3 linked regions of the Schizosaccharomyces pombe genome follow. The gene in region 1 interacts genetically with each later gene. Each region holds a gene or a part of one and is shown in the gene's direction. Other genes may lie near its edges.

What was found. A genetic interaction does not mean that the proteins touch.
Region 2: mutations in spn1 (region 1) and elp4 together harm fitness more than expected from each alone (negative genetic interaction), as found in Schizosaccharomyces pombe (one large-scale study listed by BioGRID).
Region 3: mutations in spn1 (region 1) and gmh4 together harm fitness less than expected from each alone (positive genetic interaction), as found in Schizosaccharomyces pombe (one large-scale study listed by BioGRID).

The regions. Positions count from the first base shown.
Region 1 is NC_003424.3:4,851,127-4,855,767, forward strand, and holds spn1 (mitotic septin Spn1), read left to right. Parts: upstream 1-1,913; 5' UTR 1,914-1,959; coding exon 1,960-2,139; exon of another isoform or gene 2,140-2,176; coding exon 2,177-2,773; intron 2,774-2,818; coding exon 2,819-3,451; 3' UTR 3,452-4,073; downstream 4,074-4,641. Other genes in the region: mannan polymerase complex subunit Mnn9, read right to left, coding at 1-195; kinetochore protein fta1, read left to right, coding at 4,417-4,641. UniProt on the Schizosaccharomyces pombe protein: Plays a role in the cell cycle. Involved in a late stage of septum formation leading to the separation of the daughter cells.
Region 2 is NC_003421.2:1,462,378-1,466,193, reverse strand, and holds elp4 (elongator complex subunit Elp4), read left to right. Parts: upstream 1-1,803; 5' UTR 1,804-1,855; coding exon 1,856-2,941; 3' UTR 2,942-3,208; downstream 3,209-3,816. Other genes in the region: translation initiation factor eIF2B alpha subunit Gcn3, read left to right, coding at 188-341, 399-538, 594-1,036, 1,133-1,421. UniProt on the Schizosaccharomyces pombe protein: Component of the elongator complex, a multiprotein complex which is required for multiple tRNA modifications, including mcm5U (5-methoxycarbonylmethyl uridine), mcm5s2U (5-methoxycarbonylmethyl-2-thiouridine), and ncm5U (5-carbamoylmethyl uridine).
Region 3 is NC_003423.3:1,387,496-1,392,275, forward strand, and holds gmh4 (alpha-1,2-galactosyltransferase Gmh4), read left to right. Parts: upstream 1-2,040; 5' UTR 2,041-2,687; coding exon 2,688-3,598; intron 3,599-3,651; coding exon 3,652-3,727; 3' UTR 3,728-4,171; downstream 4,172-4,780. Other genes in the region: SPOM_SPBC8D2.16C (uncharacterized protein), read right to left, coding at 252-1,073, 1,117-1,242; SPOM_SPBC8D2.18C (adenosylhomocysteinase), read right to left, coding at 4,172-4,780.

The DNA.
Region 1 (4,641 bases):
TTTGTTACGAATGGGATCGGAAGATTCCGTAATTTTGTTCATATCGTATATTTCGTAAGAATTCCCCCCACGGTTTTCAATCTGAACTTTGGCATTTGAATTGACAGATGGAGTAAATAGGTAATAGATGAAAGTAATACCGAGGGCCACAAAAAGGAGCTGCCCTACAATTCTAGATTTATTGTACACGCGCATCTTAAAGTTTATAAATAAAAATGGAAGGGCACAATTTAATAAGAGTAATAAAAATAGAGAGTTAAAAATTAAAATCAACCCGAATCTGGATGTTGTTTTGTGGGTCTAAACAGAATCGAGTTCTTAAATAATTATGCGAATTCCTTAAAAAAGCAACGGCTAACAGCTGTAGTCGCGAAAGTAACACCTTATATATATAAATGTATTTCAACTAGTGAATACCCCGTTAATAAATACTTAAGATAATTTAAGCATTAATACAAACAAAGGATTATGTCGTACGTTCACGAATCAAGCTTGTACAGGTTTTGCCCCTATCGAGTAAAAACAAAGCCAAAGAAAGAAGTATTAAAAACGCTTTTTCGAGTAAAAGAAACTGTTTTTAAAATAAAAAATTTCCTCCAATAAACCCAGAATTTGAGTGTTTTCTTATATATTGGTTCGATTCCGCCGCCAGAGAACGCCTTTGTCCAGTATAATGTGTGGCTCTGGTTACGTCGAAAAGGAGGTGAATACCAGTTACCTTGATCCCATCTGTATTCATAACAACTAGAATTAATAGCGTAGTCACGCAAGATTTCGTTATTAAATTCAATTATAGATATTTCGATTTCTTAATATAAGACACGTACTTCTATATTGTGTTGATTAACGTCTTTTCACATTAATTTTTGACATATTATATTCATAGTTTTAACGACGACATACTGGGATTGCTTGCGTACCTTTACTGGAGTTATTCTTTCTCTGATACCAGCCACACAACACCGCGTTAAGTCATTCCGTGCTTTGATAGCAAGAAGAGCTGAAATAGCTAGAAGGAAAACAAAACAATGATTGACTATTAAATGCCTTTATTCAATTGAGTTTTAGAGCTTATACTGCAATTCGGAGACTGTAAACGCTGTTATAAAGACTAATATAATCGTTATTTAATTAGTAAAAATGATCCTATTATGTTAAATTTTTTTTTAACATTTTATTATTTATAATAAGTTCAAATTTATCTTAAAAGTCCTTTAAGATCAAAAATATACGGTAAACAAGCTTCTAATGTTTTAGTTTGATCTTACTTTTTCGTAGGAAAAGAAATATAGATATTTGTTTCTGAATCATCTATTAGCATGAAAATGTTGGCCAGGCAATAATTTCTAACTGTGTTTTATGTCTAATAATTAAATCTTTAAAATCGTTGAGGGTCACATTGTCGACGTACAAGTTCAATTGAATAAATAATCAGTTGTGCAATAAATTGGATTTGCATTAATGCTCAATTCAACGACTACTGCCCAAGGTTCTATATTAATAGAAAAATAAATATTTTAAATTAAATTCAAAAGATTTAGATGATTGCATGCTGAAAGGGTATTCAAACAAATAATTTAGGTATAAATAAAAGGTCAAAAAATGTTTTTAAACAAATACAGATAATGGATAATTTTAATTCATTAGATTTATCCAATTGTTAAAAAAAATAATTGTAAAATTAACAAGACAACTAAAACAATGGAATAACAATGTTTAGTATCTTTTTATTTAATGCATCCCAGCCGTGTATATTTCGAGGTTAAGGACCTAAATTCGACGCGACAGTGAATTAAGAAATTTCAAAAAAGCTCTATAATTTCGTGAAACATAATTAAGAAAAAAATTGGTTAAGTTTAATTTCCTACTTGAGCAAATAGATGTTCATGCTCGAGCTCCTAGCTACACTCTTCATCACATACATAACCACCAACACGGGGGTTTTCGATAATTTCTGACATGGCGTCAATGGTACTCGCGGATGGTATGCCTACAGTTAAAGATGATTCCACTAGAAGCAGGGGTTCCGACGTTGATTCTTTCACATCTACAGATAATGTAACGCAAATAAATGTTGAGGCAGCCATTTCAGAAAACAAGAATGAAGAAAAACCCATTCAGGATAATTCTGAACAAGAGGTAATCAATTATTTAAAATTCCTTTACTAATATTTAGTTCAATCCGCACGTTAGTATAATCCAGCGTCAGTTGAACGGATACGTTGGATTCGCTAGTCTTCCTAATCAATGGCATCGTCGTTGTGTTCGTCAAGGTTTTAATTTCAACGTATTAGTATTAGGGGAAAGCGGTTCAGGGAAATCTACACTTGTGAATACGCTATTGAATAGAGATGTTTACCCACCGACCCAGAAATCTTTAACTGGGGATTTTGGAGTGAACCCAGAACCCACTGTTATGATCAACTCTTCTGCAGTTGAAATAGTGGAAAATGGTATCAGTCTTCAATTAAATGTAATTGATACACCCGGTTTTGGCGATTTTATTGACAACACCGATTGTTGGCAACCAGTTTTGACAGATATCGAGGGTCGCTATGATCAATATCTTGAGCTTGAAAAGCACAATCCTCGATCTACTATTCAAGATCCAAGAGTTCATGCTTGTATATTTTTTATTCAGCCTACTGGTCATGCTATAAGTGCTATGGAGCTTCGAGTTATGTTGGCTTTGCACGAGAAAGTAAATATTATACCCATCATTGCGAAAGCCGATACACTAACGGATGATGAACTTAACTTTACGAAGGAAATGGTAAGCCCTAATCTTGATTTAAAGTTGCTAATGAAAAAATGATAGATTTTGAGAGATATCCAATACCACAATATCAGAATTTTCTTCCCTCCGACATATGAGACCGATGATCCTGAATCAGTGGCAGAAAATGCAGACATCATGAGTAGAATACCTTTTGCTATAATTGCTTCTAATACATTCGTGGTCAACAATGAAGGAAAGCGCGTCCGCGGGAGGCGGTACCCATGGGGCGTTGTTGAAGTCGATAATGAAGAGCATTCTGATTTCCCTAAGCTTCGTGAAATGCTTATTCGAACACACTTAGAAGAACTCAAAGAACAGACAAATAAGCTGTATGAAGCGTATCGTACTGAACGGTTGCTTAGCAGCGGAATATCACAAGATCACTCCGTTTTTCGTGAAGTCAACCCTAGTGCTAAACTCGAAGAGGAGCGTGCCTTACACGAAGAGAAATTGATGAAAATGGAAGCAGAAATGAAAACCATTTTTTCTCAGAAGGTTCAAGAAAAAGAAGATCGTCTTAAACAATCTGAAAACGAGTTACGTACCCGTCATCGCGAAATGAAGGCAGCATTGGAGAAGCAAAAAGCTGACTTAATTGATCACAAAAATCGGTTAATGCAAGCTAAAGCTGCGGCCGAAAATGAGAAGAGTAAAAGGAAGTTTTTTAAATAGTCTCCTTACTAGCTGATATTTATTTGTATGACACCGCAGTTCTACTGCTATCTCCTTCTTTGTTATTTAATTACTACTTAAAGTCCAATATTGGGCTGTATATCTTTCCTTGATTATTCTACCATATGGAGTCGTTAATTTTTATCGAAATTTTCTTTTTTAGGAGGTTCACTAATTGACATTTTGCTTGAACAAACAAATTGAAACAGCCGGCTTATCTCTATTCAACCCGTTAAAGTGGGAGTTTGCTTCTTTTATTGCCAGTGTATTTTTCAATCTATCGAAAAATATCTATTTTCCAGTCAGTGGGGGTATTTAGACAGCTAGATTTCAGTTGAAAGAGTCGAAAAAATTTTGATGCATATATTATTAGAAGAGATTTGCTTGCGACGTCGTTTTTAGACTTTAGTTTTTGCATAATTTTTGTTCGGTTAAACGAAAAACACTGTTGCAATTGATACCTTCTCGGTGTTATAGAATAGTAAATATGAGATTTGTTGTAAGTCATTCAATACAAAGATCGGTTTGATGCTAAATACGTTTACTTGCTTGAATACTATTTACCACTGTACAAAATGTTTATTTCGAACGATAAATTTAGCGGGGTATTAGAACAAAGTTACTTGGCCAATTTGAAATATTTGAAGGATCATTATGAGCTTCTCTTTCTTTGTAAGTATTAGTAAATAAATGAAATTTATATTTACATATATGCCACCAGTATCTTTAATTGTAAAAAATGTTGATACTCAAGTTTCTTTATTATTATTTGAACGGTGACTTATATAATGATACATAGCGATTAGTAAAAAAGGTAGCAACCTCTACATATTTCATTAATTTGATGAAGGTCAATGTAGTTAATAACTCATAACGTTTTTTTAAGTACTTTAATTAATGATCCCAAAAATCGCTAGCAGAAACAAAATCATTAGAGCGTTTTGAAGTGTTAGCTCAGGCTGACTATGACTTTAAGGGATCACCATTTTTATAATGTAACATACACCGCATATCGATTGTCTCCTTTGTTTGGGTTTGAATATTCAAACTTGACTGAAATAGGTAAAAAGCTTACGAGATTTCTTCGCTATGGTACTGATCGTACTGGTTACTTTACAAATAGTACTAGGTTTGCTGACTTGATAATTGAGAAAGCTACGTTTACGGAGTTCGGAAACACATCTAGTTTC
Region 2 (3,816 bases), on another chromosome or scaffold:
GTGTATTGTAATATAATAGATCACAAGGAAAACTCACCGCAGTTCTACGTATCCTTAAATCAGATACCAAATTGCGTAGCTTACAATTTAATACAAAAAGGCATTGCCCGTTATTTGATTTTGTTGGATATCCTTAAAGTATGGAAAAGATGTTGCTACTAAGCAAGAGCGTCTAGCATCTGCGAATATGGTGGAATCGGATTCTTCGGGAATCGTTCGACATTCTCAAGGAGAATTTGACATCGTCCAGGTTTACAAAAAATTTTTGCAAGATGATCCAGAAATCACGATGCCTGTAGCCGCCATTGAGGCTTTAGTCCAGCTTTTGTCGCGCTCTCAAGGTATGTTAATTTGTAGTACTCATGTGAGAAATGAATTTACTGATGTTTTTCTATTAGCCAAGACAATTTCAGAATTTATGGACATTTTACAAAATGGCTCAAATACGCTGAAGGAAGGCGTTCAAAACAACATTTCGCTTTCAGCTGGTTGTGACATTTTCCAACGGTTTGTCACTCGATCACTACACGATGTCGGGGTATGTGTTGATGCAAAGTAGTTTTCTTTTCTTTACTAATTCTCCACGGCTTTAGGATTTTGAGCAATGCAAACGTCACTTGGTAGAAAATGGAAAACTCTTTATTCAGCGTGCTCGTGCTTGTCGACAAAGAATTGCACATTTAGGTTACCCTCTTATTCGAGATGGTAGTGTTATTCTTACCCATGGGTTTTCACGCGGTGTTGCGGCTGTTCTTTTGGCTGCTGCCAAGCGTCACGTTCGTTTCAAAGTTTTTGTCACAGAATCAAGACCTAGCGGCTCAGGCTGTCTAATGACGAGAACATTAAAAAATGCTTGTATTCCTACTTGCATGGTTTTGGATTCCGCTGTAAGCTTTACTATGAACCGTGTAGATTTGGTCTTGGTTGGCGCAGAAGGTGTTGTCGAAAACGGAGGACTCATTAATCAAATCGGTACTTTCCAACTTGCCGTTTTTGCCAAACATGCACATAAGCCCTTTTACGCAGTTGCAGAAAGGTACGTAAACGTTGAATCCATTCAGCTTACAATTATTTTTCCCTATGATCTCTCCATTTCCCTGTTAATTTTAAAATTTGTACTAACGTTTTTTAGTCATAAATTCGTGCGTATGTTTCCCCTTTCTCAATATGATATTCCCTTTAGTCGTCCTATTCTGGAATTTGATGATCCATCTCCTGAAACTGTTCATCCTGAACCTGAACCAATTCCAACTCCATCAGATGCTATTCATAACGAGCTGATCATGAATGAAGAACAAATTCGAAATAATCCTACTTTGGATGTTACACCACCCGAATTTGTCTCAGGTCTCATTACCGATTTAGGGATCATTGATTCGAAGAGTGGGGTAAGCGAAGAGCTAATTAAATTGTATCTTTAGCAATCAGATTCTCCTGATCTTAAAAATAAAATATGAATAGATTGTACTTTGAGTTGACTTAAATTTCTCATAAGTCTTGTCCAACTAGATTCGGATTGAAAGTAATCTTCAAAAATACAACAGTAATACATTTTCCGATCATGCTAATTGACTGTACGACGTAACATTTTCTATGTTATTTTGTAGTATTACAATATTATTTTTGTTTCAATGCGCCCACTAGTGAAATTTTATTATTAGTTCAACAAAATTTATCTAAAAGGTATTTTTATTGAATGATTAACTTTAGTCAACAATTTTTTATTTTCTCAATCGCAACGCTGAATTTCTTTGTTTTCTGACTGATGATGCTTAAATGTGTGCTGCAAATTTGCGTCGCGTTAACCTTTCCATCCAATTTGCTATTCCACGTACACCAATCGAAATAAGTATTGATGTCGTTCAAAAGGAAAGCAGCACCTCAAATAGCACCAACAAACTTGCCGACAGGCGTTAGACTATCTTCAAAGGATGCTAGATGGATTACAAGCTCTGGGAGTTCTTCTTTTGACTACTATTTGTCTGGCGGCATTCCAATGAAAAGTTTGCTGGTTATAGAGGAAGATTCGATGGATTATGCTTCTGTGCTACTTAAATTTTTTGCAGCGGAAGGCCTTAAACAGGACCATGTTATTTGGCTTGGTCCATCTATTGGAGAGATGTGGTTTCGTCAACTTCCAGGCGACAGCGACCGGCCTAATAAAAACGAAAATTCAGCTGGAGAGGATAATCATTCTTCTCCTCCCTCTAAAAATCCCCAGCAAGAAAGAATGAAAATTGCCTGGAGGTATGAACAAGTCTCCAAAACCAAGGCACCGACCCTTGATATGATTCCTCCTGGCTATACTCACTCCTTTGATTTGTCAAAGAATTTGATAGTGAAAAGCGATATGAAATACGCTGTTTCTCCATTCCCTTTGGAAACAGGGTCTAATCCTTACGCCCCTGTCATTGAAAGTCTAACGAGATTCTTATCTACTCTGACTCCAGGTACGGTATGCAGGTTAGTTCTTCCATCCATTTTGTCCCCAGCCTTCTATTCTATCCGTGCTACTCATCCGCAGCATTTCATAAGATTTATTCACACACTTTCATCGCTCATCAAATGCACTACTTCGGTGCACTTGATATGTATGTGTTCAGTTCCTTCTACTTTGTTTTCAAGAGATTGCGAGCAAATTTTTTGGCTAGAAAACCTTGCATCCGCCGTATTCTCTTTGCATCCTTTCCCGGTCAAAGAAACTGTTAACGGTTTAGTTACACAACCATTAGGACTTTTCCGTATCCATAAGCTTCCCTTAGCACTTCCATTTACCAATCATGCAAACTCTAATGAAGCTGGAGACCTCTCATTTACTGTATCGAAAAGAAGATTTACCATTGAACCATGGGTCCTTCCTCCACTGGATGATGAGCAAAAGGATACGAAGATTTCAAACACGAATCCTCAAAAACAGCCTGTTAAATCTTTGGATTTTTAGACAATTAAAAAACCTCTAAGTTTCTGAGTATTGAATTGGATTAAAATTCTACTCGTTTTCGTGTTATGTGATATGGTTATGGTTTGTAAATGGATTTTATAATTTTTTTTGGATGCATTGCATTTGTGTTATTTATTGTTCATACGAGTTTAAATATTTTTCATTTCTCCCGTCTAGATAACTGATCAATTATCTAAATGTTCGTCAAATGGGATAAACGTTCTCTCAATCAAAACTTTAAAACACAAGTTAATATAGAATGCGAACTGAAAGCCGTCAAATATCTCTACGAAGAACCGTTACTGTGATCTTAAAGCAAAGTGCATGAAATACTTGTAAGTAAATGACATTTTAAATCTTAAACAGTGTTAAACCGTTGAAATTTGAAGGATACAATTATTTTCTCTATTAAAACAGTTCTGAAGTAAATTGTTGATGATTGTTATCAAAACATTGTCAATCTGTTGGTACTAACAGTATTTGACATCTAAGCAAATTAAAGAGACAAATCAAAAAGTTTTCGCGTATTCGATTTTTCTCTTTAATTCTAGTCGCATTATCTTTTAAGTCAAGTGACCAAAATTAATGTGATTATTCCAATAGTCCGTATGAATGGGTCCTTAAATTCGTCTCAATTTACTTTTTTTGCATTTTGACAGAGTTCACTATATAGTGATTTACCACCTAAAAATGTGCTACCTATACATTCGCTAGTTGTTAAACATTGAGTTGAATGTTCATAATCCACTACAAACGTTCATTCAATGTTTCAATTAAGTTAAATAGAGGTTCATTGATAAGACAGATACATATATTTAACTGAATTTTATTGATGTATATCTTGGGAACATATGCCATATTGAAATTGTTCACAT
Region 3 (4,780 bases), on another chromosome or scaffold:
ACAGAATTACCCTTTTTTGCATTGACTCGAATCATCTTTTAAATTTTTTTATTCTTTATTTCAACAATACACTCTTAGATATAATTTTAATCATAATAATTCTCGTCTTAGTTTCTAATATCGTCTTTATACCCAAGTTATCCTTATAATTTATCATATTCAAAATTGATTTTGTTTTCCTTGATTAGCGAGACAGCTTTATAATATTTAAGTAAGAAAAAGACAGCTTCACCTTTGTAAGTATTTAGGCTTTATCGTCGTCCATGCATCAGCAACATATCTGACAAACGGGTCATGGCCGCCAAAAGTATCTCTTCAGGAATGGGATCATTTAGAAAAGAAACTGGGAATGGGTTAAAAGAAATACTTTTGGCAGTGGAGTCTACGAGCTCTTTTTGTACGACATTGTCTTGTAAAACAAGAACAGCATGCCGAAACGAACTTGGTAAACTCGCTTCTAACTCTTTTGAAGTAATAGCTGAAGTCTGACTGTTGATTTGAACAACAAAGTCATATCCACCTTTGTAAGGAGAACTTTTACACAGCTGAGAAGAAAGACATGACCGCACCTTGTAACCCCAATAATGACCACCTTTTTCTCGTGGAGCTGAAAAAGACACGATATCACCTTGAAGCTGGCCTTCTTCGTTTGGAGACTGCGCTTTTAATCGAACCGTGACCCTTGTTCTAGGAGCAAGGACGCTGGGGCTGGAAACGATTACATTGTGAGATAGTCCAGCATTTATAATATATTTATTCTTTGCTTGCGGAGATGGATGAGTAACGATTCCCTCTCGGTATGGGAATTCAATATTCACTGTGCTAGCCTTGTCATTTCTGAGGGGAAGTAATGGAAAGCAGCTAGTATATTTTAGATGTGGATTTAGTGGAAACAATTCCTTCCTCATAAAGAAAGGCGTTTCGAAATAGCATAATAAGTCCGTGAGAAATTTTGTGGGATCCTTTAAATAAGCATCAGAGGAAAGTGTATGTACCTGGGTGTTTTGCACATATTCAGGGTCCTCTAGCAAAATAATTTCGTCAATACCATATAGAGAAACTATTCTCGAAATCTATATTTTGAGTTAATACGCGACAACAACGAATCTTTCAAACCTTCCAGACAAAACTCGTTTTAAGCTGCAAATTGTATGCTACATTTAGACTTGAAATAGGTAATGCTAAAGATATCGTATATCGTCTCGTTGGTGGTAAGCTTTGTATTTCGCTTTCTTTTTCCATAGCAGTTTCTGTAAGCAATTAATGAGAAGTAATAATATGGCCCAAGTAGCAGTATTTTATTTACTTTTTGCTGTCTTGGGAAACAGAATATTAGGATTTGGCTTTTTATAAAAATTTTAACGTCTTAAAAAGTTGGTGAAGAGTAAAGGCATGAATTTCATTTACCAGGCTAAAAACCGTCCATTTAATATAATTAAACTAATTTTAAATTTTTTTTGAAGTATTGATCAAGGTAAAGGGATATTTTATATCAATACTTTTATTGATAGGTAAAAAAAAAAATCCTGTACTTCATAAACAATGAAAAAAATTCAAACAAACAAATGTGTTTAATGCCATTCAATGAGTGCGATTTAAACTATCAATGAGTCTTCGTAAATACCAAAGGGCTATAGAATCCCCTTTTTTTTTTTTTTTTTTTTTCTTTATATGGAAATAATAAAAAAAATGGTGTACACTTTGCTTGCAATTTATATAAACCAACTATACACGCCGAAGCTTGTATATAACCGCTGTAAAAATTTGTTAGTAGAAAAAACAAGATGATATTTTATTAATTACATACATAATTTTTTAAGTCAATAGAAGTTCATCGACTCTGATTCAATTCATCTTCAATCTTACTCTATTTACTATTTACTTTTATGATTTTCGCTATATAATGAGTAGCACCGGGTATAACGCTATAACAGTTTAAAGTATAATTTCAATATCACTAAAAAAATCTAAAAACACGTTAGAGTACGTTAGGTAGGATGCATCGTACACGTTAATCAAAATCCTTCGAATGTCGAACACGCAGACTACAAATACAGCCAAGTTGCTGCCAATTATAAAAGCAACGTTTCTCTGCTCTTAGTACGTGGTTGGGTGGATCCTGATTTCTGTAAAAATCATATTCAATATCAATAACCAGTCCATCTTGACTCGTAGTCTTTGAAACGGTGTAAAAGGATTGTTGTCAGGATAAGCTATAATCTATTGTTGTTTAAATTGTAGAATCTTCCTCTTTTTTAAATATCGCCGATATAGCTTGACAAAAAGGCTCATTTTGAAAGCTAGGCGTTGTGTTCTCGCAAGGTTTCTTTCATTATCCGGTTTTTCGTATTTCTTAGTGAAAACGCCCTCTGTAACATCTTTACTGTTTTAATTTTCGGATATACTCGCGTATATATCGTTGGATCATTTATTTGCATTTAAAAAAGGGCCATATATATTCCATTTTCTTTACGACCCAGATCTTTATACCTTTTTTTCTCTTCTCTATTTATACCTTCTCGATTTACAGATATTCTCTTACCTTCTTTTCTACATTATTTGCACATTTAAAAAACCCCTAAGGTTTATTCTTTTAAACCGTTATCTTGTTCCATAGACGCGCATAACCAACTCATTTTTTCTCGCAAACTGTTTGTTTTGCACTTTTTTACTTTGTATTCTGCAAGATGTTCAACTTTCGTTTATTTTCTCGTAGAGGAAAAAGTTTAGGTCTCTTGGCCATCGTTTTATTGCTTTTTGGCTTTTATTCTTTAAAGTCTTCAATGCCTGTTTATTCCAATTCGATTGGTTCTCCCAGTGCCCATTCCTCTTCATACAAAGGTGTTTCTAAGGCGAAAACATCTCCACAAGATCCTGATTCCGTAGTCATGTTGATTGTTAGTTTTGACGACCATTATGATTCAAGTAGATCTGACTCCAGCTCTGTCTTCCTGGATAAAGTGCTTTCTGATCGTACAGAGTATGCCTTGCGTCATGGCTATACCCTAGTCCACAAGAAAGCCCGCGATATTCAAGCGAGGTATGGTGTCTATGGTACTTGGAGTATTATCCCAGCTTTGAGGGAAACTTTGGCTGAGTATCCCGACGCTGGCTGGATATGGTTGCTCGATGCAAAGGCTGTTATAATGAATCCTTCCGAATCTCTCAAGGATAGGGTCTTGAAACCAGAAAAACTGTCGCAGCATTTGCTTCTTAATTCTCCGATCGATCCATTAAAGAACTACATCCGTACACGCCGTAAAATGGATCCATCTGATGTATTTGTAATTACCACCAGTGATTATAATGGAATTAGTACGCGTTCTTTGCTTATTAAAAATAACAACTTTGCGCCATTTCTTTTAGATGCTTGGAATGAACCTTTGTTGAAATCCGCCGGTTTTGATCAAGCTGAGCGATCTGCGCTATCCCACTTATTGGAAGCACATAACACTATCTTGGATCATGTTGCACTTGTGTCTCCTAAAGTTTTAAATTCATACACCAACTCTGCGGTCGATTTGAATTACGAAGAAGGTGATTTCTTGGTTATTCTTCAGGACTGTGAGAACGCTGCTGCATGCGAGCGTATATTCGAGTATGTATTCTATTTATCATCTTGGTCTCTTGTATTTTTACTAACACTTCCAGCAACTACTATCAACAGAGAAAACTTCCAGCCATTAAAAAGCAGCTTTCGGAAGAAACGGTTGATGAACAATCGTAGGTTAGTACTGTCTTAGCATCTTACTTTCATTTCCAGTAACTCATCTTCATCTAAACCTATCTTTCAAATTCGGTGGTTTGCATATTCCTACATTAATTTAATGAATTTATACTTAATTTCCTTTGTTTGATCAAGGGAAGATATGTTTTTCGTTTACGGAAATACATCGCAGATTGGTTTACAAGTCAAGCAATTCATATGTTATATTCATCAAATCTTCTTAATGAAAGCACGTTAATTGCTATTCTATGCAAAGAAAGAAACATTTATTATGTTTGACCTGAAATCCACATAAACCCAGTTGAATAACATTAATGCATTTCATGGCGACATAGAGACATAGATGCTGTTGAAACATCACTCATGCAAAAAAAAGAGGCTGAAACATTTTTAAAGTAATTATAACTTCAAAATAAATTCTATAAACTAAATGATAAGAATAGATTAGTAACGATAGTGATCAGCCTTGTAAGGACCGTCAACAGGGATACCCAAGTAGTCGGATTGAACAGAAGTCAAAGTAGTAAGTTTGACACCGAGTTTACCCAAATGAAGACGGGCAACCTCCTCATCCAACTTCTTGGGAAGCATATGAACACCAAGAGGATAGCTGGTGTTATCGGTCCACAAAGCGATTTGGGCAAGGACCTGGTTAGTGAAAGAGCAGGACATAACAAAAGAGGGATGTCCGGTGGCACAACCAAGGTTAACGAGACGACCATCAGCTAAAAGAATGATATGACGACCGTTCTTCAATTCATAACGATCAACCTGGGGCTTGATGTTAACAACATCCTTAGCGTTAGCCTTCAACCAAGCGACATCGATCTCGACATCAAAATGACCAATGTTACAAACGATAGAGTCCTCCTTCATTTCGTTGAAGTGCTCACCACGAATAATGTCACGGCAACCAGTGGTGGTAACAAAGATTTGACCTTCCTTAACAGCCTCTTCCATAGTGGTGACTTCGAAACCGTCCATAGCGGCTTGAAGGGCATTGATGGGATCGACTTCAGTGACAATGACACGGGCACCTTGGCTACGAAGAGA